Tamandua tetradactyla: one gene and its partner. The protein of the gene in region 1 purifies or fractionates together with the protein of each later gene. This does not show direct contact. Links are inferred from orthologs where the notes say so. Each region holds a gene or a part of one and is shown in the gene's direction. Other genes may lie near its edges. The genes, in order: ARPC1B and ACTR3B.

What was found.
Region 2: the proteins of ARPC1B (region 1) and ACTR3B purify together in Homo sapiens (affinity purification with mass spectrometry; 5 studies listed by BioGRID and IntAct, counting the BioPlex papers as one, with this or other methods). This does not show direct contact. The link is inferred for Tamandua tetradactyla from reciprocal best matches to the Homo sapiens genes ARPC1B and ACTR3B.

Annotation. Positions count from the first base shown.
Region 1 is NC_135349.1:7,395,625-7,410,440, forward strand, and holds the start of ARPC1B (actin-related protein 2/3 complex subunit 1B), read left to right. Parts: upstream 1-9,296; 5' UTR 9,297-9,374; exon of another isoform or gene 9,375-9,441; intron 9,442-14,816. Other genes in the region: ARPC1A (actin-related protein 2/3 complex subunit 1A), read left to right, coding at 2,013-2,103, 3,932-3,970. UniProt on the Homo sapiens protein: Component of the Arp2/3 complex, a multiprotein complex that mediates actin polymerization upon stimulation by nucleation-promoting factor (NPF).
Region 2 is NC_135327.1:197,435,755-197,451,379, forward strand, and holds the start of ACTR3B (actin-related protein 3B), read left to right. Parts: upstream 1-9,187; 5' UTR 9,188-9,360; coding exon 9,361-9,404; exon of another isoform or gene 9,405-9,572; intron 9,573-9,826; exon of another isoform or gene 9,827-9,849; intron 9,850-15,625. UniProt on the Homo sapiens protein: Plays a role in the organization of the actin cytoskeleton.

The DNA of each region.
Region 1 (14,816 bases):
GTTTCTTCCTGAATGTCTTGCTTGTTCCTTGACAGAAAGTATAGTTATGCTGTGTTTGAAAAGACGTTTTTAGTTATTTCAGCTTTGGATTTCAAGTGATATATACAAGTCAGAAGATCACTTAGAGAAACAAAATTCCTTATGATCATTATGGCAAAGCTAAGGATTCTCTTGGCTGATTTTTGAGCAGGCAAACGTGATTAAGTAATTGTCCAGAAAGGTTTTTTTGTTCTTTTTTTTAATTAGAGAAATGCAATATATTCTTGATATTTTAAGTTACTATGTTGGGTACCACAGGCTTTTCTCTTTTTGACTAGGTCTTTTGTGTTGAGAGATTTTTATTGTGGTAATGGAGGTAGGGGGGATAATGAAAACCACTAAGCTTTCTCTTTGTAAGAATTATATTGAAAGCAGATTGTGCATTTCTTCATGTTCTGTGGAAAGGGCAGCTGGACTTAAAATAGACTGAAAATGTACGTGCTCTATCAAAGTAAGAACTTTAAGGCAGTGCAGAATTTATGTTTTTTCATACTCTTCAAGTTTCTCAGTCTTGAGTGACTTTGAGAGTTATGGCTTGTGAATTTTTCTTAAGCTTCTATGCATACTATGTGTCAAGAAGGGAAACAACACTTATTGTCTCTCTGAGACTTTTAGATTAAAAATTTTAAAATAAAAGACAAACCCTTGCAGATTGGAATGTTGACTTTTCTTACAGAAATTAATTCTTCTTTGCTCTAGAACTGACTCAACAAGCTTGTTCTGTAAGGAGCCAGATAGCAAATATTTTAGGCTCTGAGAAAGCATGCCTAACCTCTGCCACAACTATTCGACTCAGCTGTGGACAGTATGTAAGTGAATAAGCATGGCTGTGTTCAGTAAATCTTTATGGACACTGAAATTTCACTTGCTTTTCACATCTCATGAAATAGTGTCCTTCTTTTGAGCCCCACTCCTGACCATTTAAAATGTAAAGAACATTTATAGACAGGACCTACCCTCAAAGAAGAAAAGGCTCAAAGGACATTATTGGGACATATAAAAAAATTGGAATATAGACTGTAAGCTTTCTATTTGTTAAATTTCTTGAACTTGATAACTGTATTTGAGTTGGTAACATAAGTGAATATCCTTATTCTTAGATAGTAGTAAGTGTTCAAGGTGCATGATGTATATAACCTACATTCAAGTATTCAGAAAATTGAAAGATAGAGTGATATGGCAAGAGTGGCAGAATGTCAAAATTTATGGATCTGGGTATCTGGGGGATGAAGGTATTTGGAGTTCTTTGTATGAGTTTTGCATCGTTTTTGTAACTGTTTTGTATTTTTGAAAGTATTTTAAAATAAAGTAAAAAAAAATCCTCTGTAAGCTTGCAGGCTGTACAGAATCAGGCAGTGCAGACTGTAGTTTGTCACTCTCTTCCCTGGGGAAATAAGCTCTAGACATTTCAGAGGAGAAAGAAAAATACTGTCTGAGTTGTGGAATTTTCTTGAAAGTTTTTCAAATAACCATGCTAAGAGAAGTTGTTTCATTTACCTGTTGCTCTCCTTTGCTTGGTTGAACTCTTGTAACATGTTTGTCTGACAGCTGCTAAAGTTTATTAGTTTCAAACACGAGGAGGGCTCTCATTTGTGTGCCCTGGCTGTTTTGGAGGGTAATCCGGGAGCTTTTGTTTAGAGCCTGTTGGATTTTGGTGATGTCACCAGGCCTATAGGTCATTGCTGTGGCCCCACCTGTCCCTACCCCTGGCAGTTTGCGTGCTGTGCGGCCTAACCATCCTGGTTCTCCAAATCATTCTACTTAATGCAGGTTCCTCACCATTCCCTTGTTTAGGCTTTCCTTTTCTGGACATCTGGAAATACTTTCTGAGTCAGATTGCTGTAGCCTAATATTGATGGAAAACTTAATATCCAGGAGACAATAGATCATTATTTTCCTTAAACTGCCAGTCAGGAAGATCAGAGCTTACTTCCAGCATGTGCCTTACAGTCTCTTGTTTTTGTGTTCTTTAGTCAAGTGTCTATATATGAGGTGGACAAGCAAGACTGTCGCAAATTTTGCACTACTGGCATCGATGGAGCCATGACAATTTGGGATTTCAAGGTATTTTCTACCTTTCAGAACAAATCTTGTTTATATTAAAACACTTCCTGTGAGAAGATTGTGTCTCATTCCTTGAAACAAAATGTCATATCTGGTATACATCAGAAATATAGGCTGTTAGACTGTAGTTCTCTCTAAAACCTTGAAGTTATTAACAGGAAGAAGCCATATTTTCCCAGTGAGATAGGATATTTACTTCTAGATATTCGTTTATCCACTGAGGAAAAATTGAATGCTTTTCTTTTTTTTTTAAGCAGGCCCTATGATCAGTTGTGTTTAACTGTGTGGATATATTTTTACGGTTTGTACAAATTAATTTAATTAACATTAAGTCCTGGCAAAGTACCAGGCACTGAGGATAGTGAGGAAAGGAGTCTGAATTCTTACTTTGAGGACTTGTAGAAGAGGTAGGTGGTTACTGAGTGGGGTGTTAGGTACAGCCCCAGAAAAGAAAGCAGTGCCTTCACTCTGACATCGAGGAATCTGAGGGGATGCACAGACTGCCAGTGCAGCAGGGAAGAGGTTGCATCTCATGATGCAGTGGGGTTTGCTGGGTTACAGGCAGGGGTGGGGGGTCATGGAGAAAGCAGTGGTGAGCATTCTGAGCTGCAAGAGCAGAACACGCAGGGCCAGCCATAAAGTAAAACAGTGTGCACTGCATTCGGTGGTGAGGGTCCTATGGGACTAGAAAAAAAGATCTGTGGTATGGCCAGAAGGACACTGATCTATCTGCAGACAATAAGGAGCTATTGCAGCACTCAAGTAGGAAAGCGCCAGGTGTTGAGTGCCTGGGTTGAGCATTCTTAGGGTCTAGGTAGTAGCCTTTGAGTCCAGTAAACAAGTGATGAGAATGTGAGCTCCACCAGTGGCAGAGGGTATGGCCAGGAAGTTCTGGATTGGAAAGGATTTAGGCCAGATGGAATAGTGAGAGTGAGGGGCAAATCCAGAACTCTTATGCTCTCCAGCCTGGGGATTAGGCAGGTGGCAGGGCCTTTCAATGAGGTAGACTCAGGAAGAAGGAATAGAGTTAAAAGAGAAGATGACTCCTACATGTAGCTCTATTAATTTAATTTCTCCTGGATGAAAACCTTCAAAACAGGTAAATATTTACACAATTTTGCCACTACCTGTGCATTTATTTCTATGATGTTTGATTCCCCCCACCCCACCCCCGTCCCTGGGTCAAATACATAGTCTTATGCCTTATAAAGTCTCTTTCTTCCTTTTTAAAAATTTTTAAATTTTTATTTTATTTATTTATTCCCTTCTTTTTAGTGGTACATGCATTTTTACTGTTACATGTCCCAGGCATCTCAGCATCTCTGTAATTATCACCACCTGGGTAGTTAGAGCTGCATGTGATAGAAGAAATCTTTCTCACAAATCCCCGGCTCAGCCCTTTTTATTACTTTGATCCCTAAGGCCAGCCAAGTCCCTGAGGACTTACACTTATTTTCGCACTTATAGAAGCTAGGAAGTTCCAGTGTATTTTTCTCACTAATCAGTACACCTCTGCCCTTGCTGTGTGGCATACACCAGGCTGGCTGCGCTGTGGTCTGCAGACACAAGAGAGCTGGCCATTAGGCGTTCAGAGTGAGGCAAGGCAGGTGTAAGCACTAATCAGACGGGCCCTGTGAGCTGGGGTAGTGGGGACAAGGGAGCACACAGGCCCAAAGGGCCACCAGGGAAAGCCTAGTCCAGGAGGGTCTCTGCAGGCCTGAGAGTGGGTGCCAGGGGGGCACTGCAGCCCAAGGAAGAGTGGTTGGTAGGACAGTGCTGTGGGGAAAGTGCCTCAATAATTATCCGTGTTCTTTCTGCCTTCTTGAAGACTTTAGAGTCTTCTATCCAGGGCCTTCGAATAATGTGAAGCTGAGTGAACCTCCAGGATCTAGCATGACAGACTGCGACTGACAATAGCTCTGCCGTTTGCATGATGGGGAGGAAAGCCAGCCGCCGAGAAACACTGAGAACATAGTGTTCAAATATCATTTGTGTGTTTGTTTGAATATAATTGATGAACGTGTTGGTTTTTTAAAAGAAGCAGTAGCTTTTTTTTTTTTGCTGTTTTCATTCCATTCTTGACCAAAGCTTCTCTTTAATCAATTTATTATGGAAAATTGTTACACTAACTTAAAGAAAGGGGTGGGGAGGTATGTAAATTGTCTGCTAGAAATTAAAATAAAATAATAAATGTATTTTTGGTTTGTTTCCTTATACTATTTCCATTCTTTTATAGAAAAAAATATGGGTAAATGATCTGTAAACTTAATTATTGGGGAAGTAAACTACAGTTGATCCTCAGTATTTGTGGATTCCATATTTGCAAATTCACCTACTTGCTACAGCTTATCTGTAACCCCCCAAATCAATATTTGCAGCACTTTTGCAGTCATTAGCAGACAAGGGCATAGCAGAAACAAAATGGAATCTCTGGACACAGACATTTCCAATTGAGGTTGAACAAGGTGATGCTCTGCCTTCTTGTTTCAGTTCTCTTACTGTGTAAACAAGTGTCCATTTCCTTCATATGTCGAGTGCCGTGCTTTTCTTGGTTTTGTGATTTTTGTTGGTGATTTCATGTTTAAAATGGCCCCCAAGCATAATGCTGAAATGCTATCCAGTGTTCCTGGGCTCAAGGAGGCTCTGACATGTCTTGTGGAGAAAATACATGTGTTAGATAAGCTTTTTTCAGGCATTAGTTATAGCACTATTGGCCTTGAGTTCAATGTTAATGAATCAACAATATATATTAAATAAGGTGTTTTTAAAAGAAACACATAGAACAAGGGTATGCATTGATTGATGAAAATATTGCCACCAAAGGCTTGTAGAACCTAACCCTGTATTTCCCTAGGAACAGTGGTTCAGTATTCACTAATTCAGTGTTCTCGGTGACTTTATAGAACATAACTACCACAAATAACAAGAATCAATGGTATGTATTTTCTGTATAGTGGCAGAATAGCTTAGATTCTTAGTTTCATAAAATGCAATGTCCCATGCAACCTACAGGAATCATTTATTGAGAAAAGAACCATTTATTGAATGCTATTTTTCTGCAAAGTAGCTGTACTATTCCCATTTTGCATCCAAGGCAACAAGGAATCCCACTGCCACTAAGCAGCCTATTCTGTGAGATCCAGAGGTATCTGCCCCATGCCGCAGCAGGGGCAGCCTCTGTGATGGTGCCCCCACAAGGGCCTGCTGCGAGGGAGTATGCATCGGGACAGAAGGGAAAAGGTGTCATTGTTGATAGAGATTATTGTGCCCAAGCCCAGTTATTTTCATCATTCTGAGAGGTTAAGTTTAACATCCCAAGGCCAAGAATCTTTAGGGGTACAAACCAAGCATATGTAAATGAATAGCAAAATAAATGAGAATGGTCTTGTTAGTGACCTCACTGACAGGGAAACTGGAACTAGTCCATACACCCCTGCCTTTAGAGACCGATAGCAGTATCTAAGGGATATGATATTTTCAGAAGACTAGTTTTAGCTTTTTGTCGATTCATAGAAAACCTGACTGCCCTCCAGGAGAGAAGCCATTTGCCTGGGAGGCTGGCCTGGTGCACCCACCTCTCCCTGTTTGCAGTTGTGCTCTCTGGACACTCAACGGCAGGGGTTTGTTGTGACTAGTGTTTGTACCACGGCATCAGCAAGGCTGTCACCAGAGAAAAGCAGCCACTGAAGGTGAGCTAGCTAAGAATTTCTTTTTAGTTTCATTAAATCACACTGTTTGGCGTGTAAGCCCAGAGATTTTTAGAGAAACAATGGATTCCATGAAAGAAAAACAAGAGCAATAGCAAAAAAAAATTTTACTTTCAGTCAAGAACTTATTAGTCACATATATATATACTTTTTTTTTTTTTTTTTTTTGATGGGGGTTGCATTTCTCACTCTTGTAAGAAGGCCCATCCTTGTTACAACAGCTGGAAATCTGTTCTTTACCGCAGTGCCGGGGTCATGAGATTACAGCAGCTCCCTCCTGCTCTCACCCTACCTTTGAGACTCAGATCAGGTCTGAGTCCACAAGGACACCAATGCGGTAGTTCTAGGTGGCTGCTGCCTGCCAGGACATGTTGACCAAACCCTTTGATGTGACGCTTTGGTGTCATATTACAGTTCTGCCAAGCTGTGTGACCTTGAGCAACATCTCTGAGCTTCCGTGTCCTCATCTCTGAAATGGGGATGGTACATGATAAGTGTTACATATTGGGTACCCAGTAAAACAGGGTTTGCTTTCAGGCTTGGTACTAGCCCTTTAGTAGATGGCTGGAGACCCTTCATAATCATAAAATGGAGTAGAGAGGGAAGAGGTGGATAAAGGATTTTGCAAACCAAAAACATCCAACTGTTTTTTCTAGAATATCCTGCTGAGAAAACAAGCCTGCCTCTAAACCCTGGTCAATTGTTTAGGCATGAGTCTTCAGTTTGGCTCAGCAGTTGTCATACAAGTGCCCGAGCTCCTCGGTGTGCCCAGATCTGGATGCAAAGATGTGAAGGCCCAAGGTGTCTGCAGTCTGGCTGAGGAGAGAAAAACTACCCTGTGGGGAACAGTCAGGACAGAGCAGCATATAATTTATATACGGGGTCAAATGTTAAAATGTGTGTGTGTGTGTATATAATTTAAATAATAGGTGTGGTAGGCAGAATAACAGAACTCCAAAAATGCCCATGTCCTAGTCCCCAGTCCCTGTGAAGAGGTTACCTTCCATGGCAAAAGGGACTTTGCAGGTGCAGTTAAATGAAGGACCATGAGATAGGGAGATTAGGCTGGATTATCCAGGTGAGCCAGTGTTATCACCTGGACCCAGTCCTGGCCAATGAGATGAGTGGGGAGAATGCTGGGGGCTCCTGGGGATGGTTTTCCTCCTTGTCTCCCTCTGCCTTGGCCAGCCCACAGCCTTCCTGCAATTGCCCTGCCTGAAGCCTGGCCATCATCTTGTGACCAGGAGGCAAAAGGCCAACACAGTGAGGAGAAGGAAGGAGCAGAAAGACAGAACTGTGATGGCCTGGAGACACTGCACCAGTTCTGCACTACCTTCCTCCAAGTCAGTCAGCCCTGAGGAGTCTTGGCCCGGCTGGCTGTGAATGCACTTCCTAGAAACCCGAGAAGGTGGAAAAGAACACGGAGGGTGGCACCTTCATCCCAGGGCACCATGGGAAGTGGATTCCAGGAAGAAACAGAAAGCACTCCAAGTCATTCTCGGAACTGCAGATGAAACTTCCATGCCCAAGCTGCCCTCACCCAAGGCATTGCTTCTTTTAAAATTTACAAAACTTTGTCCCCTGAGGGAACCATCTCAAATAATGCCTCCATCTCTTCCCAGTTTAAGATTTGCTTTCCCATCCTTTGGATCTTCCCACTATAACTGCAATTACCTTCACTGTAAGCTGTGGAAACCGAGGTGGTACAAAAAGTGTGACTTGCCTGAGGTTACACCACTAGTTAAGTGACAAGAGTCAGAACTGGATTCAGTCACTCATTCCACAGATACTATCAGTGCCGTCTGTAGCCCGGGCCCTGCAATACAAACTTGGCCTCTACTCTCAGGGAGCTGATGAGTCTGCTTTTCCTCCAATCATACCACCTCAGTTCAGTTTTTACCATTATTAGTGACAGGGATTCCTTGGGTGTGTGCATTTGTTAGGATACTTTTGGTAATGGGTAACAGAAAAACTCAAACCAGCTTAAGATAAAGGACATTCCCTGGTGCACATGGCCGAAGGCTCCAGGGGCAAGTTGGGCTTTGGGCCGGTCAGCCAGATTGACCAGGACTCCGGTCAGGGACGACCCTTATCAGAACCACGTTTCTCTCCCCTCTGCATGTTTCCTGGTCGGCTGCAGCCCAGATCTGGCTTCCCCTCGCGGCTAGAATCACCCAAAGGGGCTTCTCTTCTCTTGATCATCATCAAAAGTCTTGGGCTTGGCTTTGGGCCATCTTAGGTCACAAAGACAGTTCAGCATACTCTGGGCTGGTTGGGTTAGAGATGGGGGTCCATTCCCCCAGGGTGTCAGTCATGGGGGAGGGATAGAGTGGAAGTCAGGTGGCAATCGTGCCACCTATGAGTTCAATTGCACTTGTCCCAACAGGAGGGGGTGCCAGGACAAACCATTGGAAACTGCTCTGGTTTAACTAAAACCGTGACCTGGATTTGCTGAGGCTGCTGGGACCTGTTTGAACCAACCTACAGGAACAGCAAGACAGGGGAGCCCGGGCAGCAGCGCCTCAGCGTCCCCCAGGGGGTCATGCTCACAAGTTCACTGGGCACAAACACCTCAGTTAAAGTTCACTGGGCACAAACTGTGCTCCCTGGGTGAGGGGCTCCACAAGTTGACCCATCTCATCCTCCCAACCTCAGCCGGTGGCTGGCAGGCGTGTGGTTAGGATGGGAGCTGGGTTTGGGGACACAGGGCCCCTCAAGTGGGGGTGGGGGCGACATGGGAAAGGTATTCTTCAGCCACATCCTGCAGGACAGACCAAAGTTGGCCAGGTGAGGAAAGGGTGGGAAAAGTGCTCCAGGCAGAAAGAACAGCCTGGGCTGAAGCAGGGAGACCCGGGAGGGTTGGGGGAGTGGCCCCAGGCCCCTGGAGCTCCATGGGGAGCCAGCCCCCCTTCGGCAGCTGCCTCTTGCTCTGTGGCTAACCTTGGGTGAGATGAATCCTAGGGAGAGGGGCCTGCTAAGGTAGAGGGGGCAGGTCTCCACCTGCCCAGCCACCCGGCCACATCTCCATTGACAAACCCAAAGGCCCCTAGGGACCACCTGGTCCTGCACCCACATTCAGGGGCCTCAGGCAGACTGCCGGGGAATGGAAGGTCAAGAAGTTAGCCTTAAAGAAACCCTGCTGCCCCAGCCAGTGAGCGGGGAGCGCCTGCGCGGGAGGGGGTGTGCACCCGGGTTTGCTGTGAGGACACTGAGGGCCCACTGCTTGGCCACACCCGCCCTGCCCACCCCACCCCGCCCCGCTGCGACTCAGACCCGCACCCTCCCTTCGAGCCTCAGTTTCCCCACCCAGAAAGCAGTGAGGGGTGGTCACGGACGAGACGACATCTGGGCGCTTGGGCTCCGACGTGCCAGGACGGTGCGGGGGGCCTGGGAAACGCACGCCCGGATGGGGTGGGCGGGCCCTCGGAGCTCAAGGCCGCCGCCCGCCCGGTCCCCGCCCCGGGTCCCCGCCCCCCGCCCACGAGGAAGTGGCTGCGGCGCCGAGCGGGGCCAGAGCGGTTCGGCGCGTCGACTGCCCAGAGTCCGCGGCCGGGGCGCCCCGAGGTGAGGGGCGCGGCGGCTTCCGGGAGCTGAGGGGGCGCGGGGGGGCGTCACGAGAGGCCGCCCCGAGGTGAGGGGGCGCGGGGAGGGCGCGGCGGGCTTCCGGGAGGCCAGGGGTGTCAGGAGGGCGGGGGCCGCCTGGAGACGAGGCGGGGCGCTGTCTGGAGGTGAAGAGGGTCTCGGGGACCGCCGGGAGAGGAGGGGGCGAGGGGAGTGCGGGCGGCGGGGCCGGGTCACCGCTCCGGGCCGAGGGACACGTAGGGTCCCCGCGCCCCGGGCGCCGTCGGGGCGGTCGGGGCCGGCAGTCCTGACCCCGCGCGCCGTCCTCCGGCCTCGGCCCCCTCCCCCGGCCCCGCGTCACCCCGACTCTGCCCCGCGGGCCGCCTCCCCCCCGTTATTTGGGGTCGGGAGGGCCCCACGCCCAGCCACTTCCCCTCCGTCCTCGGAGCCTTCCGGGTTGCTCCAACCGGGAAATGAGCTGGCGCCCCACTCCCCGTCCCCCCCACCCCGTCGGCAGCACATCCAGTCCGTGGAGCCGCGGGTCCCGCCGCGGGGGGGGGGGGGGGAAGGCGGGCGCCGGGGGTCTCGAAACTGGCTCATGCGAGCTGCGGGCCCCGGCCCGAGCGGCCCCGCCCGTCCCCGCGCAGGGCCCGCAGCGATTCCAGCCCCGGTTCGGGCAGCGGCAGGGCCGGGCTGGCCCCGAGGGCGGTGATTGCGACGCTCCGCTCGCCCGCGGAACGCAGCCTAGGCGCTGAACCGCGACCCCCTGGGTTCATTCCCGGCCGCCCCCCAGGCGCCTTCTGCCCGGCAGGCAGTGAGCCGGGGGCCCAGAGCAACTTTGAGGTCTCCCGCCTTCCTTCACGGACCTTGTGTGACCTTGGCTAGCGCCTCACCTATAGTTCTGAGCCTCAACTTTGCTCATCTGGAAAATGGGCATCTTTCAGTTTGCAAGGCTGAAGTGGGATGATGTGTGTAAACGGCTTAGCAGTGTCTCAGACGCAAAGTAAATATGTGTGCTGTTACCTGTAGCTATTTTAAAAGGCCGGCCCACGTTTAGTCAAGGCATCTCCCCGTGGGAACCTGACCTCTGAGATTTGGGGTTAGAGTTCCAGCTGTGCAGTTTGGGAGCTGTGTGTTCTTGAGTCAATAATTGCTTTTGTCTGAACCTCAGTTTCCTACTGTACAAATGAAGGTTTAAAACAAAACAACTTCTTAGGCTTGCTTGGGGTTGGGGGGGAGGTTGTGGTGGTAAAAGTATGCATGTGAAAGTCTTGGGTAAACTATGAATTTCTTGACAAAATACCAGTGAAGTTAGTTTAGTAACAGTTAAATAGCATTTCAACATGTCAGTGTCACAATTTACTTTTTCCATATTTGTAATCATCTGGATTTCTCCACCTTGTCCCCATTATAAATAGCATTGTTATGAACATGACTGCTTTTAGAAAAAATAAAATAATCTTAGGGGCTGTTTTACTTGTGTCAAAAATGGATTTATGCAGCCAGAGAGTGTTAACAGTTTTTAAGTTTCTATTAATGTAACTTAGCTCTGTTTGTATTACCCAAGTGTTGAATTAAATGTTATCACTCTGCCTTTCAGAAAGACTGAACCAATTAGCAACAAGTGAGAATTTCTCCACAGCTTTGTCAGCATTGAGTTTTATGTGTTTTTTTAATTATTATTTTTTTTGGTCTTGTTTGGATTACTTTAACTGTCGCTTTATGGTATCTTATGATTGTTTTAATTTGTGTTTCTTGATGTTACTGTGCCGGGTATGTAGGACTTCAAGTGCAGAGTTGGGGAGGAGAGGTTGGCTGATCTTGCGTGGTGGGGGCTCCTACCCACAACAGGAAGCCATGCAAAATGGCTCCTGGCAGCTCCCTCAGCAGCTGGGTGGGGACTTCCATGAGAGCCCAGATCCTGCTCCAGGCAGTTCCTGCTTGGTTTAGCCTCAAATAATGCTGCAATTTAGCCTCTGGACTCAGAGAAACCTGGCAGAGCCAGACAAAAAAAAGTACCTAAAGCCTGTGCCTCTTCTGGGGAAGCACTGGCCTGGGGCACTCAGCCGGTATGGAGAGAGGCAGAAATTGAATCCAATGCTGTAAGGAAGAAGAGCGCCGAGGCTGAGGTCCTGAACAGAATCCTCCAAGCCACATAGGTGAAAGTGGCCTGGCTCGCTTTGGAGAGGACACTGTATTCTCTCCACTCTGAAGTCAGAAGACCCACTAAGACTAGGTTTACAGGTTTCTCTGATCATTAGCTCCAATCTGGAAAAAATGTGAGCACATAACTCCCTGATGAATATTTATAAGTTGCATACATGTGACCCTGAACGAACACAGCATGTTCTATGTAGGACAACCCCCAAGACAGATGTGAAGAAAAGGATGTGATTTACTCATCCCACCACATTTAGTAAATATTTATCGAGTACCCAGCACTCTAATTGGTGTCGGGGACATATCAGTGAACAAAACAGATAAATATCCCTGTGCTTCTGGCAATTATGTTCAATGATACAAATTTTTCTTGACAAAAAGGGACTTAAAATTTTTTTCCACACCCTGGGGCATGGTCTTGGGCACCTCCCTTGATGGAAACGGCACCCCACTTTGGAGACCATGGATCCAGAAATTCAAAACCCCTTCCAGCTCCCCTGCAGGGAATTGAGAAGGATAGTGACTATTAAGGGGCCCAACCTCAGGCCTCCTGCTCCAGCGCTCACCCCCAAAACTATCCACCACTCCAGGCATCCCCCCCTGGGGCCTGGGTGACCACACTCCATCTGTGCTGAGCACCTACTGTGTGCTGGACATGGGGTGCAGAGAGGTCCTGGTTCCAGGCTAGGGGGAGCCCGCTTGGAGCCAGCTGCCCTGGGGAGCCTGTAAAGGGTTTGGCCTGCATTCTCCCAGCCCCACTCTGATTTGGGGGTGACGGACTGGGGATGCACAGAGCAGAAGCCTCCTAATCCCAACGCCATCCCAGCCCCCCTCCCCGCTTTTCCTCAACAGTCAAGTGGGCCCACGGGGCTGGCTTGCAGGGCTGCAGTGACATCTGGGTGGGTGTCCCAGAGGCCACGGCCTCAGTCTGCCTTGGTCCCCGGCAGGAAGCATCGCTGCAGGGTTCTGCTTATCAGTCTACTTGGGCTAGACAGCCCGCATGCCCTTTTTCTTTTTGCATCAGGGCAGTAGCCCACCCCCAACCCCCACCCCTGCTTTTCCTGTGATTGAGTAAATCAGAGGTCTCTCAGGGTTGAAAGAGCCAAATAGGTCTAATCACCTGGAGCGAGCTGATAGTCCCTGAGCCAGGAGTTGGAAGTCCTGGCTACTCCTGGGCCTACCTACAGGTGGGGATGGCCTGGAAAGGCTGCTTCCCTCTCTGCCCCCACCCCCACCCCCAGCTTCCTCTTTGTAATCTGTGGGGGTTGGGAGCTATCACTGAGGCCCTGCTTTGCAGAAGTTGCCCTACAAGGGAAATGAGTCTTCTCTCCCCACCCCTTCACCTCTCCCCGCTGCTCCCTTTAAGATGTTGTTTCAGTGGGCCTCGAAGTAGTTCTCTCTGAATTCACACTGAAGTGTGATTGGCTGATAGGTTTGGGTTGCGAGCCTTCCTCCCCACTGTCACACTATGTGTGGCCGTCCTTACCAGCCCCTTCCCTCTCCCGCTTGAGAACCTTTGGGACCTGGGAAGCAGTGGTAAGGGCGTTCTGGTCCTCTCAGCTGTCCTGACGCATTGGCATACGGGAGGTACTGGGGTGAAGAAGTCCCCCCAAAATTCATGTTCACTGGGAATCTCACAATGTGTCTTATTTGGAAATAAGGTTTTTACAGATGTAATTAGTAGGGGATCTCAAGATGTCCTTGCAGACCTTGCCTCTGTGCCCTCACAGCTGGGACAGGCTTTTACTGCCACCATGTCCAGTCACTCAAGACCCCACCATGGGCAGAGACGTGCCTGGATGCACAGCGTGTGGGGGACAGTTGGCACTGGGAAGTCAGGATCTACTGACCAGCCAGGGTCCCGAGTTTGGGCTGCGGGGCTCCCCAGGCTGCAGCCGCAGGGCTCCTTTCTTCCGGGCCACCTGGGTCCTGGGACGGGGAGGGGAGTAGTTGGAGTCCAGGTGCCCCCACATCCTGGCTGACTTTGGGAGCGGGCTTCTGGCGTTAGCCCTGCCCCATCCGTGACCTTGGAAATGAGCGTGGGCCATGGGCATTTGCTGTCTTTCTTAGCCAGTGCTGAGCACCCAGGCGTGCCTTGTTTCAAGGGGAACGTGCAGTCCTTGCCCCGCGCGTGCACACACATCTGGGGGCAAGGGGTGGCCTGTGGCACCCTGGGACCTTGCCAGGACTTCCTGCTGTAAAGCAAACCAGGTGATTTGCAGCTGGGGCAGCTGGATGGTCAGGGGAGGCCCTGCCGAGGTGGCCTTTGAGCAAAGACTTGAAGGACAGCAGCGAGGGAGAGAGCTGGGTGGGTATCTCGGGGCACAGCGCCACTGGCTGGTGCGAAGCTGGAGACAGGGGCGCACCTGTTTGACAGGCTGGGGATGTGGCTTCCTGTGCAGATGGAAGCTTCCGCTTCCTGAACAGCCACTGTGGACCAGGAGTTGCGTGGCATGAAATTTAGTCCTCTCAGTGACCCTGGCAGGGTAGGAGGGTCGGGATCCCTGCCTCCATTTTGCAGATGGGGAAATGGAGGCTCGGAGGCATGGAGGCCATCCCTGGGGTCACACGGCTGGCAGCCAGCACCGCTGGGCTCCAGGTCTGGGTGACTCGGAAGCCTGCAGGGAGAAGCTGTGTTGGGGAGGCAGTCAGAGAATTGATGCTTACGTTGGGGTCTTATGGAGGAAGAGGGGTTTGCTGAGTGGTGCAGGGAAGGGCACTCGGGGAGGGGGAACAGCGTGCAGAGACTAGACGGGTGAGACAGGGACAGAGTTGGCCTTGAAGGAGAGTCAGGCCGGGAGAGGTCGCAGCCCTCCAGGTGGAGGGGACAGCACATGTGAAGGCCAGGAGGCCTGGCTCGGCCAGCTCCATGCATAGAGTTGTGCAGTGCTACAGCGGGGCCTTAGATAGCCAGGGAAGGGGGGTAACCTGAGGCAGGGCGAGCTAGGTGGAAGAGGCTGTCTGGGAGCTGGGGGGAGGCCAGGGCGCAGCTGGCAGGGGCTGTGCTTGGGGGAACTGGGTGTGGCTGGGCCCCGGCTGGAGGTGGGAGGCCAGGTCGGGGGCTGCCCTCAATACTGGGCTGCGGCTGCAGCCCTCCTCCTCCAGGCTCCCCCATGTCCAGGCCACCAGGGTCTCCCTGGAGACCCCTCACCTCCCCCAACACACACACCCCTACAGGTCGGGTCCCTCCCCTGGTCCCAGGTGCAGTGCCCCCCCCCCGCCCCCAACAGGCCCTTGCACACTGACCCTTTCCCCACCCCCCTCCCCAGTCTCAGCAGGCGTGGG
Region 2 (15,625 bases), on another chromosome or scaffold:
AGTAAGTACAGGAGGCTGTGGAAAGCAGCGGAATTGAAGTTAGGGAGCGGTGAGTGGGGTATGGGTGAGAAGAATAAAATTCAGGAAAGCTTCTGGGAGAGCACCACACTGGAAGCGAGCCTTGAAGGAGGTAATGGGGGAAGGACATTTGAAGTAGAGGACACAATGTGCATGACACAGTGTGAAAGAATGTGTTCTGCCCAGCAGGATATGGTCAGTCAGTATGTTTGATTGTGTGACTGCCTTCAGACCACTAGCTATGATGCTTCACACACTGGCTATTTAAGATAATTTATTAAGGGAGAATCACTCTATACCAAAGAGGAAGTGACTTGAGTTCAAATATATTCTGTGAGATTAGTTTGAATCATTGGTCCCTAGGAGAAGACACATTTTCCTTCTTCATTTTATACAACCAAGTGGACTGAGTAGAAAAGGCCTTTTGCGGGGGGGATGGGGTGATAGATATTCAGCTGAAATTGTACTACAAACATTTATTATCCCTCCTTCTATTCTATTCCATTTCATTCTACTAACTTATTATTATTTTTTTTTAATTACAACCACCTGCCAATCTCTGTGCTGGGTGCTGGGGACTGGTTCACAGATGAATAGGGCAGGATCCCTGTCTTTGTGCCACTGATTAGCCTTCATTTCTCACATGTTGGCCAGGAAAATAATCAAGGTGATGATCCTTGACTTTTACTGCTGGAAGACCAGGCAATAGGGGTAGCAACATAATTTATGGCATATAGTGCAAAATGGAAATGTGGGGCTCCCTGTTAAAATTTTTTTTAAAGAATTTCAAAATGGCTACAACAGATTGTTTTAAACAGAACTTGGAGTCCATCTAAGTGCAGATGCCTTTGCTTCTACACAGTTTACATGCCCATGAAGCTGGCCCTGCCATACACCATAGTCCTGCCCAGTGACTTGGGATTGAAGCGGAATAGGTAAGGCAGGAAAGAGGTCATAGTAAAAGAAGAGGAAGAAGAAGATAACTTCTAGTATAACTATCTGAGGCTCATATTTATATTAATCACCTGTAAGAGGTGCATTGTTTTCATTCGAAAGAATCTGTTTTTAGTCTGATTTCAGACAGTAAGCATTCTGATCCCTTGATTATTTTCAGAATAACTTCTCAGGGCCTTCTGTAGTTCTAGTTATTTATCATTATGTATAGGGGAGGATAATATTTTTTGGTTTCTATAATGCAAAACTGAGTCAGGAGAATAGCTGGAGAGGTGTAAGGAGGAAAAAAAAAAAGAAGTTTTGCTTTGGTGATGTTTGACTAATGATTACACTTTCCAAGACTGGCAAGCGAAAATTTGATTGGCATCAATTCTACTAGTTAACTGAGTTCTGAACAGTTGTATATTGGGCTGTGATAATGGATGTCTTTGCATCAGCAAGAGGGTTCACGTTTATTAAACCTCAGGGTATTGACACCTGTGGTGGGTCCATGGTAACCAGAATCCATCTCTATGAAACTGAAGGCTTAACAATTTAAAAGTATCAAACTGTATCGATGGTAACACCTGAGTGGTAAAGTAACTGTATCATAACAGCATATATTTTATATTTATATATGAATTATGAGATAAAAAATATTTGCAATCTCTTATTTGCCCACTAAAGAGAATTCTGAGAAGCATTTCAACTGAAACAAGTTTGAGTTATAACTGTAAAACTCCATTTCCTTCTTGGGAACAAAACCTACAGATTAGAGGACAGGAGTGGGCAGAAACGAAGAAACTTAAGAGCAGGAAGGATATGGTTTGAAAGGGCAGAGAAATAATTCTCTTACTGATAAGAGAAAAAGACTAGACACTGAAAGTGGAAAGGCATGTATGTGGGATGAATTTGAGTTTTGGGTGGGCAGGCTGAGAACGAGAGATGGTGAAAGGGTTTTTTTTTTGAGGTTTGCTGGATTGCTTACCCCATTCACCCCTCTTTGGTGTTTTCTTGAAATATTGCAGTGATGATATAGAGTACTTTAACTTATTTTAAATGTCTGTCCATTGCTTCTTTGAATGAAACTGGTTTCAACATAAGCACAAATGAGCCCACAGCCTTTTGCTTGTTGCAAGTGCAAAACAATGAACAGCTTACATGGGTACTAATTATTTCTAAATTGAGCTTATTTGTTTTTAAGACAGTAATGAGGTAATCAGCTTGGAATGACTGGAAAATTTTTCAGTGGTATTTTTTCTATATTTCAATGGGTTAAAAATTGAGAACTAATGAGGCCACCCTGGAATATTTGATTCTCATATATTAATAATTATAAAATAATAATGATAACAGAAACAAGAATAATAGCTATTATTTATTGAATATTTGCCATGTGTCAGGCACATAAATGATCTCTTCTTTTTTTTTTACACTAGCCCTATGAAGTAGGCACTATTATTCCTTGTATTCTTCCAAGAAGGAATCTGAGGCACAGAGAGTTTAAGTCACTTGTCCAAGGTCATACACATACCTAAAGATCAGAGCTGAAATTCAAATCTAGGTAGTTTGGCTTGAGAGCCTACATTTTAAAATTTTATCAATTTTGAATATTTAACTGTGAATGATAAAAGCTGTTATTCTGTCACCTTAGCACGATGACAAGTATGTCTCCTTGGTCACAAGGAAGACCTGGTTAGAGTACATGAATGGTTCAATCCAACTCTTCTCCACTAATGGAAAATGTCTTATATCTTACGTAATACTGAGGGCAGGTCTATTTTAACCCTGTTTTATACCTTAGTTATTATCACAGTAGCCAGAATAAAGCTGTGTGATTTTAGCCCACATTTTAGTACACATCTAAAATGAAGAGAATTATTTAGGAAAGCAGCAGCTACACAAACAGGGCAGTAATGATGTTAAACTTCCCATTTTAGAGAGTCTAGTATTTTTATAGACTAATATGAAAACTCAAAAAAAAAACCCTTCTTTACAGACAAAGACACTAAACTCTTTCCTACAGACAAGGAAACTAAAGCTCAGAGATGTTAAATAACTCATCAGAAACATATCTAAGTTTCTGATTGGGGATTTGGATACAAGTCTGAAAGACTCTAAGACATGTGATCTTTGCAAGCCTCCATAAAAAAGTAAAATTAATTTTACTCATTTTTTTCCATATAAATTAACATAGTTAAAAATGTTTGGGGTGGGCCAGGATGACTCAGCAGGCAAAGTTCTCGCCTGCCATGCCGGAGACCCGGGTTCGATTCCCAGTGCCTGGACAGGCCAAAAAAATAAAAAATTGCTTCAAGAAAACAGTACGATTTTCTCTTCAACTGATAGCTTTTTGTTTTTCACTCTTGGAACACAGTGGCTATATGCTTTTCTGCATACTACTTTTGCTTAGAATTCATCTTGCACCTTGATAAGTTAAAGCAAGCATAAGAAATAGTAAAAAAAGACATGGAAACATATCGTAATTTCCCCCCTGATTTTCAAGTACATATTGTTGAAATTGAGTTTCAATTGGATGAAAAGAGAAATTTAGCAGACATGGCCCCATGTATTGCCTTCCTACCTGTTACTGCACACGTATCCATTCTGCTTATTACCACCTCTTTTTCCAAACACATTTGGCTCAAAAAAAAAAAAAAAACCAAATAAATATCTGGTGTAGATAGTCTGCATGTCACAATTTTGCTTCATTCATTCCATTATAACTACACCAGATGCCTGCTGTGCTGCTTCTAAAAATGTTCTAGAATGAAAATTAATAAGGAGAGGAGAGGCCCCTGGGAAGCCAAATCCTTCAAAACCTGTTGCTTGTGTGATTGCACAATGGCAAGAAACATTTGGATTTAGCTTTTGGCAGTATGCTCTGTCCAGATTGCTTGGAGTTCAATTACACTACTCAGCAGTTTCATTTTCTATTGGCAAAAGAATTTGATTTTTTATTGGATACTACTCAGTTGGTAGAATATATAGTGATTGCCTGATGTTAGTTCATGGTTATTTGTTACTGGATTTAGAAAACATTCAAGGTAAAGCGCTGAAAAGTAGAAAAGTATGTTTGAAATTGTGAAAGTCTGAAGGACTGATTACTGAGATCCTTTCTGGCTCTACCATATATTATACCTGTGCTGGTTTGGTATCACTTTAGCATTTTCCTATTTTCTCAAGATCAAATGAATTACAATTAAATTTTAATCTATTCTAATTTGATCTTCAGTTTCTTATTTGATTAGCAGAAGTATGATAATATCTACCTCATGAGATTGTTGTGAAGATTAAATGTGATGATGTACTGAAAATGCTCTGAAAACTAAGTTATACTGTAATTCAAATTCTCCATTTGAACTGGATAGGAATACTGTTTGCTAGAACAGGGGAATTTACTAAAATGCACTCAGTCTATTTTGTTGAATGAATAAATGAAGTGAATTTGAATTGAAATTGGAAGGATGAATGAGTCTTGGAGGATAAAGATGAGGTAGCTGAAGGAGAATGTCGAAGACTGAGAGGACTGCATGATGACCTGACGATGCAGAAGGTTTGAAGAACAGTGTCTGTGGTCTGCTGTGCCCTGATGTGTCAAGGGGCATAATGTGAGATGAAATTAGAAAGGTTAACTTAGGAGCAGATCATAGGGAACCTTAAGACCCACCATAAGAGTTTGGGCCAAATTCCATAAATAATAGGGAGTCATTGAAGGTTTGGGGGAAAGAAGAATGACATGATATATAAACTTTCTATATTTTGTAATGATACCTTTTACAGCAGTGTAATTTGTCCAAAAGGTGTATTGAGTAGGCAAAAGCCTGGAGACAGGGTGGCTGGAGCAGGGGTGTGGGGAGGTTTTGAATAGTTCAGCAAGAACGACAGTAGGCATGAGAAGCAGGGTATGGACACAAGGGAGGTGGTGAGGTTGAATGAACAGGACTTGGAAGCTGACTGGTGTAGGAGAAGAGTGAGAAGGAGGAATTGAGGATGAACTTTCTAGTCTGAGTAATTTTTATTAATGGAGACAGAAACACAGCAGAGTTGATCTGAATATGTTTAGTGTTGACGGGATTTCCTTAACTGTTTTGTGTTTTTTTGGTCTGTTGTCAATTCTTTGATACACTCCAGCCCATCAACTTTAGTTTGGATCATTTTTTTCTCACAGTTGCCAACACATCAGGGAGGTCCATTGAGCTCAGTGACAGGCCCTTCCTCTTAAAGGAGAATGCCAACTACTTGAAAGGAATGGAGTACTAATTTTTTGGTACTCTTTTCTCTTTGAATTTTCATGGCAACAGAGAACACACAGAGTGCTCCTTCTTACAGCTCTGAGATTTAAGACTCACGGAGTTGCTGGGTGGGCACTTTTTAAAGAAAGCCTTTAGTTTTGTGTTCTTTTTTTACTTCTTGGCCCAGCACAACCAGTTAAATGCAGGAAATGAAGATCTCATTGCCTGAGTTTTCATTGACTAAATTCCTTTGGATAGCCAATGTCTAAGCCCTGCTTATTTTGTTTTTAAAATTGTCTTCATATGCATAACCAGCATCAAAAAGTGTTCATTGAAGTTCATTTGAGAATGGTACTGGGATGTTATAGCACCCAGGATTGTAGTCATGAAATAGTTATACCATCTGCCATGGAGGGGATGCTAAATTCTATCCAGGAAGTGTTATGGTATCCATGTTTCTGCCTGTTGGGATGGGGCTGAGTAGGTCACTTTTGGGTAGAAACACAATCAAGAGATTGACTCTCCTGTGAAATAGAGCTGATTAAACCTTCCCTTCTATTACAAGCAGAGCACAGGGAGATAGGCTGAGCCACACAGAGTAAAGAAAAATATTCTGGACTAACAGGCATTTGGTAGCAGGCATTTTGCAGTGTATATTAGAGTGAGCAAACCTCATTTGCAATATAACTAATAAAAATTGTACTTGAAGTATCTCTTGCAGGATGTAAGGTTTATCTCTGTGGGTATTGTACACTAGGCACTATAAAAAGTGATGCAATAGCCTCTGATCTATAGGAGTTCACAATCATTCATTGACTGGTTACAAGGTCCCAGATGATGTCCTGTGAACTAGAAATATAAAAATATATAAAACATAATCCTACTCTAAGGGAGCTCCCTGTCTACTGGGGATTATAGTCCTGCAACAAATTACAATGCCATCAAATAAACACTAAAGTGAAAGTATGTATGATGCTTTCTGTGAGCACAGAGGAGAGGGATTAGATTTATGAAGTAAAGGTGTGCTTCATAGAGATGGTAAAGCTAGAGCTGGGTCAGCAAGGATGAGCAGGTTAAGTAACAATTTCAAGCAAAGGCAAGATTATGTAAAAAAGGCATAGGGAAGTGAGAATATATGGCTTAATTAAGAAAATTATGGGTGATGCAGAAACTATTTCGTTGTCTGCACAATGAACATTTGCCTCTTGCTGACCAAATTCAGCATCAGTCAGGCACCAGCTGCCATATGCTTCAAAGGACAGGACATCCCTCTCCAGCCTAAGGGGTTTGTTTTCAAAAGTTTGCCATTCACAGTACAACAGTATCCCTTGCCAATAACTGTTTTTTTTTTTTGCATAGGCTGGTTGATGAAACAAGCAGGGAAGCTGCCGGGGACTCCTGGAAAAGTCTTTCTTCCCTCTTTGAAAGATAATCAAGATGGGGAATTTCTTTTTCCTTTCTTTGTCTGTTTTAGTGCATGCAGCTGCTGTAGCCATCTTGCAATTGCAAGGGATGGGCCTGAGGACAAAGGCCAACACACAAGAGGTTGGTAGAACAGAATGTATAGGTCCACAATGATGTCATTGAATTGGTGGAGTTCTCTTAGAGTTACTGGATTTCCTATTACATGAGATAATAAAATTTCCTCATTGCTTATGCCACTTTTAACGAGGTTTTCTCTTACTGTGTATGAAAACATCTTAACTGATACCTTGAGGGTTAGTGGTATCTAGAGGAAATCATTGAAGTTAGAGTCTCTGATTTATTTCCTGTCAGCTGCTGACCATGGCCACCATTCCCAATAAATTCTATGCAAAATCCCTGTAAAGGAAAACTTTTTATTACCAGCCAGTTCCAAATTCCCTCAAAGGCGTATTTCCTGGTGAATGGACAATTGTTTGGGTTACCCAGGCTGCTCAAAGCAGATATCATGAAATGGGTTGGCTTTAAACAATGGGAATTTATTGGCTTACAGTTTGAGGCTGTGAGAATGTCTAAATAAAGGTGATGCTTTCTGCCTGAAGACCAATTGCTGGTGATTCTTGACTCCTCTTCCATGTGGCAAGGCACATGGTGGTATCTTCTGGTCTCTCCCTTCCCTTATAGGTTCTTTGCTTCCAGCTTCTTGTTTCCAAGGCTTTTCTCCTCTCTCTCTCTCTCTCTTTCTCTCTCTCTCTCTCTGTATTCATTTCAATTATAACGGACTCCAGTAATAGGATTAAGACCCATCCTGAATTAGGTGATTCACATCTTAACTGAAGAAGCCTCATCAAATGGTCTTATTTATAATGGGTTTACATCCACGGGAATGGATTACATATAAGAACATGTTTTTCTGGGGTACATGTAGCTTCAAACCACCACAAACATACATGAGCCTTGAGGTCCTTCTTGTTTTGTGCAGATTGTTTCCCATCCTAAAACACTCTCTCATTCTCCTCTGTCTAGTTACCCTCTATTCATCCTCTGGGTTTCAGCTTAGATACTATTGCTCTGAGAAGTCCTCACTAGCTGACAAGTCAGAGTTGGGTGCCCCTCTAGTGGCTTTCCAAGCCTTTTGGACTTGCCCTATCTTAGCACTTAATGAACTGTATTGCAATTGCCTCTTAACTGCCATTATCTCCCATAGAAACCGATGTCTTGGGAGCACAGACTGTGAGAATCCTGCTTACTGTTGCAAGCCCAGTGTTTAATATAGTTTCTGCCTTACAGTAAACACTTAATATATATTAAGTGACTGAAAGAAAATAAAAGACATCATGGTGCCAAGCCAACAGTCTGCAGTCCTAGAGTATATCTATGGCATTTTGGCTAGTGCCATGAAAAGTGGGAGCTGGGTAGGCATTGGCAAAACTCAAAGTAAGCAAGTTAGTGTTTTGCCCATATGGATTATACTTGGGATCCTATATTGGTATTCTTCTACACTGCTGCCCTTTCACTTTCCTCACATTTTCTATTTCTCTCTCCAGTTCCCCTGAAAATTTTCTAGGTCTGGGGCTTATTTGACCCTTTTAAGTAATATGGGAACAATAATGATTTATCCAAGAGTGATCAACTAATCTATTACTTCTCTTAGGAAAAAAACACAGTGCTTTAAATACCAGTTAAAACCACATAAAAATTACATGTCTCCAAAAGTTCATAAAAAATTTTCAAGAATTTATGATAGGGTAGAGAGCAGGAAGCAAGTTGGACTTCCAGTATCCTCATAACATAGTAGGCAGGTGTTTGCTTACTCTGATCCATGATTTCAGTAAGAATTTTTGGATGATAATTTTATCTTTGATACCTGAAAATATGGCATAATATTAACTAACCCTAAGATAATCTCTTAAGGCTGGCTATGCATATGCCTTGCAGATTTTTCTTTTCTAGAGGAAATTAGTGTTCTGCTAGGTATAATAACTAACAGTCGTCTCACCTGCCATGCTGGAGACCCGGGTTAGATTCCCGGTGACTGCCCATGCAAAAAAAAAAAGGAAAACTAATAGTAAATTTCTTCAGGGTGAAAATTATTCATTCATTCAACATTTGGGTGCTTCCTATATATGTGCCAGATACCATGCTAAGCACAGGGTAACCTGTGGTGAATAAGACAGACATGAGCCCTGTCCTAGTAGAGCTAACAGATCAGTGGGAGACAGACTACTAATAAGTAGAAAAAGTTTGCTCTAAGTGCATGAATGAAAGCAATTCATTGCTGAGACAGAATCAGGTGTGGGGTGGAAACCTAATTAGGTTCCCTGAGAAGGTGACATTTGAAGTGGAACTTAAAGGATGAGAAGAAGCCAGGTCTCGGAAATGGGGTCACCTTCACCATAAATCAGTCAAATATAAATACCAATCTCTTCGGCCACAAGGGTACCATCCACAACGTATAAGCACAGAAACCTCATACCAGCACTAAAGATGGCGAGAGAGGGGAGGGGGGCATCCTTGCGCCGTGATTGGCTAGGACAGAGGGAGGAGCGTCACGTGGCTCTGCCGCGGAGCATCCGGGCTCCCGAGAGCGGTGCTGCCTCTGGCTACCCGAGCCGCGGGAGAGGCGGCCCCGTGGGCGGGGGCGAGGCAGTGGGACCCACGCGTATAAGGCCGGCCGCCGCGATCGTAGCGGGGGTGTTCCTGGGCCGCTCGTCTAGGCCGAGCGGTGCACGCCGCGCCCGGCCTTCCGAGCATGGCGAGTTACCTGCCTCCTTGCGTGGTGGACTGTGGCACCGGGTAAGAGCCTTGCCATCTCCATCCCCTCAGTCCGCTGGACACCCTCATCCCTGTTCCTCCCGCTTGCTCTGGTCTTCCAGTTCCACAGGCGTTGAGCAGTTCCTTGTGGCCTCCCTCGCGGACCCTGCAGCCTGAGGTATCCCGCCTTCTCCCCTGGAGGTAGAGGTAGCTGAGCCCTGGACTCCCGGCCTCAAGCCGTCTACCCACCTGTGCGGATAAAGGCGGCGGCATCTCCACCCTGCACATCTCCTACCCCTTTCCTTAAATATTTCGCCTTTAGATTTTAAAATTCTCTTTTAACTACCAGTAAAGGTGTATCTTCCGGGGCGCGCAAAAAGGTCACTCACCTTGAGGAAAGGGAAAGAATGGAGAGGGAGTGACGGGCCCCATATAAATCTGTTTTGATTCTCTTCGTGTCCTACATCCTCTTAAGTGCTGGGCCGAGGTGGGTACCCCGAACTTCCAGCCGCAGTATCGCTGAGTAGGACCCTCTTAGCATCTCACCCTTGCCTTGAAAGCCAGTTTATTTAGGTGCTTTCAACCTTCTGTTCCTGCCATCCAGTATTCTTAAGTGGCGCTTATTCAGTGCCCACATCAATTGTGTTTTATTTCTCTTTGCTGATGATTTACCACCTAGTTACGGAGATGTTTATATAGTCCTATCGACTTGATACCCTTTTTACTGCCTTCTTTTCTTTTCCAGTATTAAATGGCTCACTCAGGAGATTAATTCTTGTTAAGTGCTTGCTTTAGTTTGAATAGACATGCCCTTTAGCTTAAAAATGATGTGGGTTAAAAGACTCCATTTTGAAAAACGGAAAGGTTAAATTTGGGGAAGCTTGTTTGTGAATTAGGTTTTTATTTTTTTTTTTTTACCTTTTTTGTGATTGCTTCTTTTACTGTTATTAAGATATACAAAGAAGACCTTAGGTAATTTCTTGTACTTTGAATGGCCCAAGCTTCCCTGATTTTAGAGAGGTGATTGCTGAATCCACAATGCTGGTAGTTTGGAAATTCAAGCTTGCCTGCTTACATTATGGATAAAGTTCTTAATAAAATTGCCTGGAATTAAATTTACTTGCTTGAAGATTTGTCAAGAAGAGATTTTAATAATCGTTGCCACAAAGTATTCCATGGCCTGTTCACCTTAACCTTGATTCTTTTTAGTAGAAAAATACGCTTGATTTTGGTTTCCTTGACAACCTAGTGTGGGTGTCATCTTCAATTTGTTACAGTCCCTCTCCTTGTGATTTTTCTTTCTTTCTTTTTCTTTTGCCATTGAAACTACTGCTAGTGATTATAAGCTGGAGAAACTGCCTCTTTGCTAACGCTAATTCTTCTTTTTGAAATATACATTGTGCCAGACTTTTGGTGGCTCATTATTTCAGAAGTTATTTTACTGCTCAAAACATGAGCTAAAATCAGTATTGATGTTAACCCCAGGGAGAAATTCTTGGCTCCCTTATCCATCTTCTCCTCTCCACCCCAGACTCTCTCCAGTTTCAGCGTTCACCTCACACCCCTACTTTATTTAGGTCTAGTTGTATCAAGACTGAAAGCAACAGGTAAAAATATTTTTTCATTTCCACATTTTCATGTGAGAACTTTTGCTTTCATATGTTTGGGTCTTGTAAAACTAATAGAAATATCAAGCATTTCTTAATGGTAGCAAGTAAAATGATATCCACAGAGTTTGTCATACCTTTACTATGAGTGAGCTGGAGATCTTACTTGTCATTCTTGCTATAAATATGTAAAATGTTGTGTGAATTTTTGACCTTTTGAGGTAAATGCTGAATGTAGCTTTGTGGATTCTGAGATACAACTTTAGTTATCATTGTTTTATGGTCCAAAGTCATGCTGTTGTCTTCAGGCTCCTCAACTTAGAAGTGCTGGCAGGGCTTCCTCTCAAAGGGTTTCACATGGACATATTCTGTCATGGAAACTTCTGTAATTCATCATGAGCTCCCATTGTCCAGAGTATGGCTAGAAGAGTCTAAATTTATCCTCTTAAGCATGTTGGTAATCCTTATATTTTCTAAAGAGCTGAAATTGTTTCACAATTGAGTTTTACCTCAAAATAGGATAAAAATGATAAAACATAGCCAAAAATAACCAGGTTCAAGGAAAAGAATGGGCTTGGGGAGTCATCTTAAACTTAGGCTAGTGCTTCCTGTAATTGGGCCTCTGATTTGGCCTTAGTCTTCATGACAAAGTTATGAGAGTTATGTGAGTTCGTAATTCCTGTTATCAGGAAGGAAGAGAAACACCTGTTTCTCAGGTGAAAACAGTTCTTTCTAGTATGAAATTCTAAAAGAAAAAAATTCACCTTGAACTATACTTAGTGGACACTGATGATTTATGATCCTAACCAGGACCATAGCAAATAGATTGCATTCTGGTGGCCTCACATCCGTTAATAAATCAGGGACCAACTAAGTGAGGAAAAGTGGGCTGTGGACCAAGACGGTAGTATGGACCAGGGGAGATCTGCTTGATCCAAAGTTAAAGCTTCGTCTGTTTAAAGGAATAGAGAAAATATTTCACAAATACCAGTCTCAGTCTCTTAGCTGATTTTTGAAAATGATTTTTTAATTGAGATGTATATTCACATACCATATAATTATCTAAAGTATATAATCAGTGGTTCATAGTATTATCATATAGCTGTGCATTCGTCATCACAATTGATTTTTGAACATTTTCATTACTCCAAAAAAGAAAAAAAGAATAAAAATAAAAGTAAAATGAACACCCAAAACATCTGATCCTTTGATCTAACATTCTCTGTTAGAAGAATGATGGGTTTTGTGTACTTCCTCAGGATGATGAATACTATTATTTCTTTAGCCTTTTGACAAAGGAAGCCTTCCTGAGGAAGAAGGAGTCCTAGGAGGATAAGTGGCCCTATCCAGTGTCTCCCTCTTCCTTTATTTTGACCACCATGCCTCCTCTTTATCCTTTATTTTGACCACCATGCCTCCTCTTTATCCTTTATTTTGACCCCCATGCCTCCTCTTTACCTGTGTCCCTTCAAACTTCTAATGTGAAGCTCCTCTGTTACAGCATAGACGGGATGAGCTATTATAAATGTACATAGGAGAAATAATCCAAAAAAAGAAATGGGAAAAAAATTTGACTAAGTACATCATAAGAGGAAATAGTATAAATGTTAGCCAATTTTTTAATCAAGATTTTTGTACTTTTTAACTTCTTATTTTGAAATAACTTCAAATCTACTTAGAAGTTGTAAGAGTGCTGCCCCCGCCCCCCCAAAATGTGATAACAGGTTTGCTACCTGTTAATAGTTTGCCACATTTGCTTTTTATTCTCTGTGTGTATCTACACATGTTGTTATATTTTTCCAGACCTGTTTGAGAGTAAATTGCAGATGTCATGCCCTTTTACATGGAAATATTTCAGTGTACTCTTTGTGAGAGCAAGGCTATTCTTTTATATAACCACAGAATAAGTATCAAAATCAGAAGATTTGATGTTTATATAGCAGCAACCCCCCCACCCCCCAGCCCCCCAAGCAAGGCCATTTGTGGTGAAATGGCATTTGATTGTCATTGTGTGTTTTAAGTCTCATTTAACCTGGAACATTTCTTAGCCTTGTTGATTTTCAAGACTGACATTTTTGACAGCCAGTTATGGTGAATGTCCCTCAATTTAGTCTTGTCTGATGCTTCTGTATATTTAGATTCAGTTTATGGGTTTCTGTCAGGAAAACCACAGAAATGATGTTTAGTGCATCCCATCAGGAGGTCTGAGATACCCCTTAACTCACTGTTGATGAAGTTGACTTGTATTTTTTGGATAAGGTGATATCCATTAGGTTTCTCTATTGTATAGTTAATGTTTTTCCCTTTATAGTTAACCCATTTGTGGGTGGATATTTTGAAGTTATATAAATTCCCCATCCATCAAACTTTGACCTGTTAGTTTTACTGTCCACTGGTGATTCTTGCTTGAATTGATTGTTACAATGATGACTGCAAACTAGAGATTTTCTAACTCTAGTGTTCTGTGTTTGCATTTATTAGGTAGCATTTTACTATAAGGAAGAGTTTTCTATCTCCTATATTTATTTATTTATTGTTTTTATAGATTGTTATTTTACTCAAAGACTTGTAACCCATTGTGTCATTTTTATTATATGCAATGGATTATTATCTATTATTGCCAGTACTTGTTTTTTTATGCATTTTTGAGATACATTCACATACCATATAATCATCCAGAATGTACATTCAGTAGCGCTCAGTATCATCATATAGTTGTGCATTCATCATCATAGTCGATTTTTGAACATTTTCATTACTCCAAAAGCAATAAAAATAAGAATAAAAATAAAAATAAAAAAGAGCACCCAAAACATCCCATCTCTCCCTATTATTTACTTATTTATTGTCTTTATTTTCATACTCATCTGTCCATACACTGGATAAATGGAGTTTCAGTCACAAGGTTTTCACAATCACATAATCACACAGTAAAAGCTATATAGATACAGTCATCTTCAAGAATCAAGGCTGCTGGAACACAGTTCAACAGTTTCAGGTATTTTCTTCTAGCTGTTCTAATACACCAAAAACTGAAAAGGAACATTTACATAAAGCATAAGAATAACCTCAGAATGACTTCTCTACTCCATTTGAAATCTCTCAGCAACTGAAACTTTATTTTGTTTCATTTTTCTTTCCCCTTTTGGTCAAAAAGTCTTTCTCAATCCCATAATGCCAGGTCCTGGCTCATCCCTGGAGTCATGTCCCATGTTGTCAGGGAGATTTACACCCCTGGGAGTCATGTCCCATGTGGGGAAGGGCAGTGAGCTCACCTGCAGAGTTGGCTAAGAGAGAAGCCACATGTGAGCAACAAAAGAGGTTCTCTGGGGATGAGTCCTAGGTATAATTATAAATAGGCTTAGCTTCTTTGCAGGAATAAGTTTCATAAGGGCAAGCCCCAAGATTGAGGACTTGGCCTATTAAATTGGTGGTCCCCAATGCTTGTAAGAATATCAGGAATTCCCCAGTGGGAAAGTTTAATATTTTCACATTTCTCAAGGGGACTTTGCAAGTACTTTTTTATCTTCTGCCCAGATTACTCTGGGCTGTATCGGTTATCACGCTGACCTGTGCAAACCAACAAAATCTCACTCCCTATTCAAGGTTCCAAGTACTTATGGTGTTTGAATAAATTGACTGTACAAGTTATATTAGATAGTGTGCTAAAGAAAATATAAATTCTGCACCAGGTAAACATCTCTTCTTTTGGTCTTGTAAAGAAGTTGAAGTTTGAAAATACAGTCATTATCATTCTGTATGATGTATTTTGATTTACCTTAGTCGTATCCAGTTTGGCTTCATTCATCTCTCTAATTGAAGTCTCATCTTTTTTCAGCTTTTTAAATAGTTGCTGAATAGGGTAAAGCTGACTTTCCTAGCTGCAGAATGCTAGCTCTGAGACTCAGGTTTCACATACATACTCAAAGTTCCAGGGGATGACTGGTTTATACACAAAAAAACTCAGCATCTCAGAATTTAAAAATAAGTTACAACTCTGGAATAGATATGACTGTGTAAGAGTTTACAGTCTAGGAATCTTTATAATAAGCCTTCCCCTGATAACCTATGCTCTCAAATTCAATTCTCAGGGTCTGCGCATATAGTTTAGTCCTTATTAGTGAGGCATTATAATGTTTGTCTTTTCATTTCTGGCTTATTTCACTCAACATTCTGTTGTCAAGGTTCATTCACCCATTTGCTTGCCTCACAACTTCCTTTCTTCTTGCAGCTGCTCAATATTCCATTGTATGTATACACTATAGTTCACTCTTCCATTCATCATTTGATGTACTCTTACTTAGGCCACCTCCATCCATTGCAAATTGTGAATACTGCCACCATAAGCGCCAATGTGCAGATAATCCATTCGTTTCCCTGCTTTCAGTTCTTCGAAGTATATACCTAATAAAAGGGTTGCAGAATTATATGGCAACCTTATACTTAGCCTCCTATGGAACCACCACATTGCCCTCCAGAGGGGCTGTACCATTCTACTTACCTACCATTAGTGAATAGGTACATCTCCTCCACATTTTCTGTAGCACTTGCATCTTTCTTTTTTTTTTTTTTTCAAACAGTTTTATTCACACACCATGCAGTCCATCCTAAGCAAACAATTAGTGGTTGCTGGTATAATCACATAGTTATACGTTT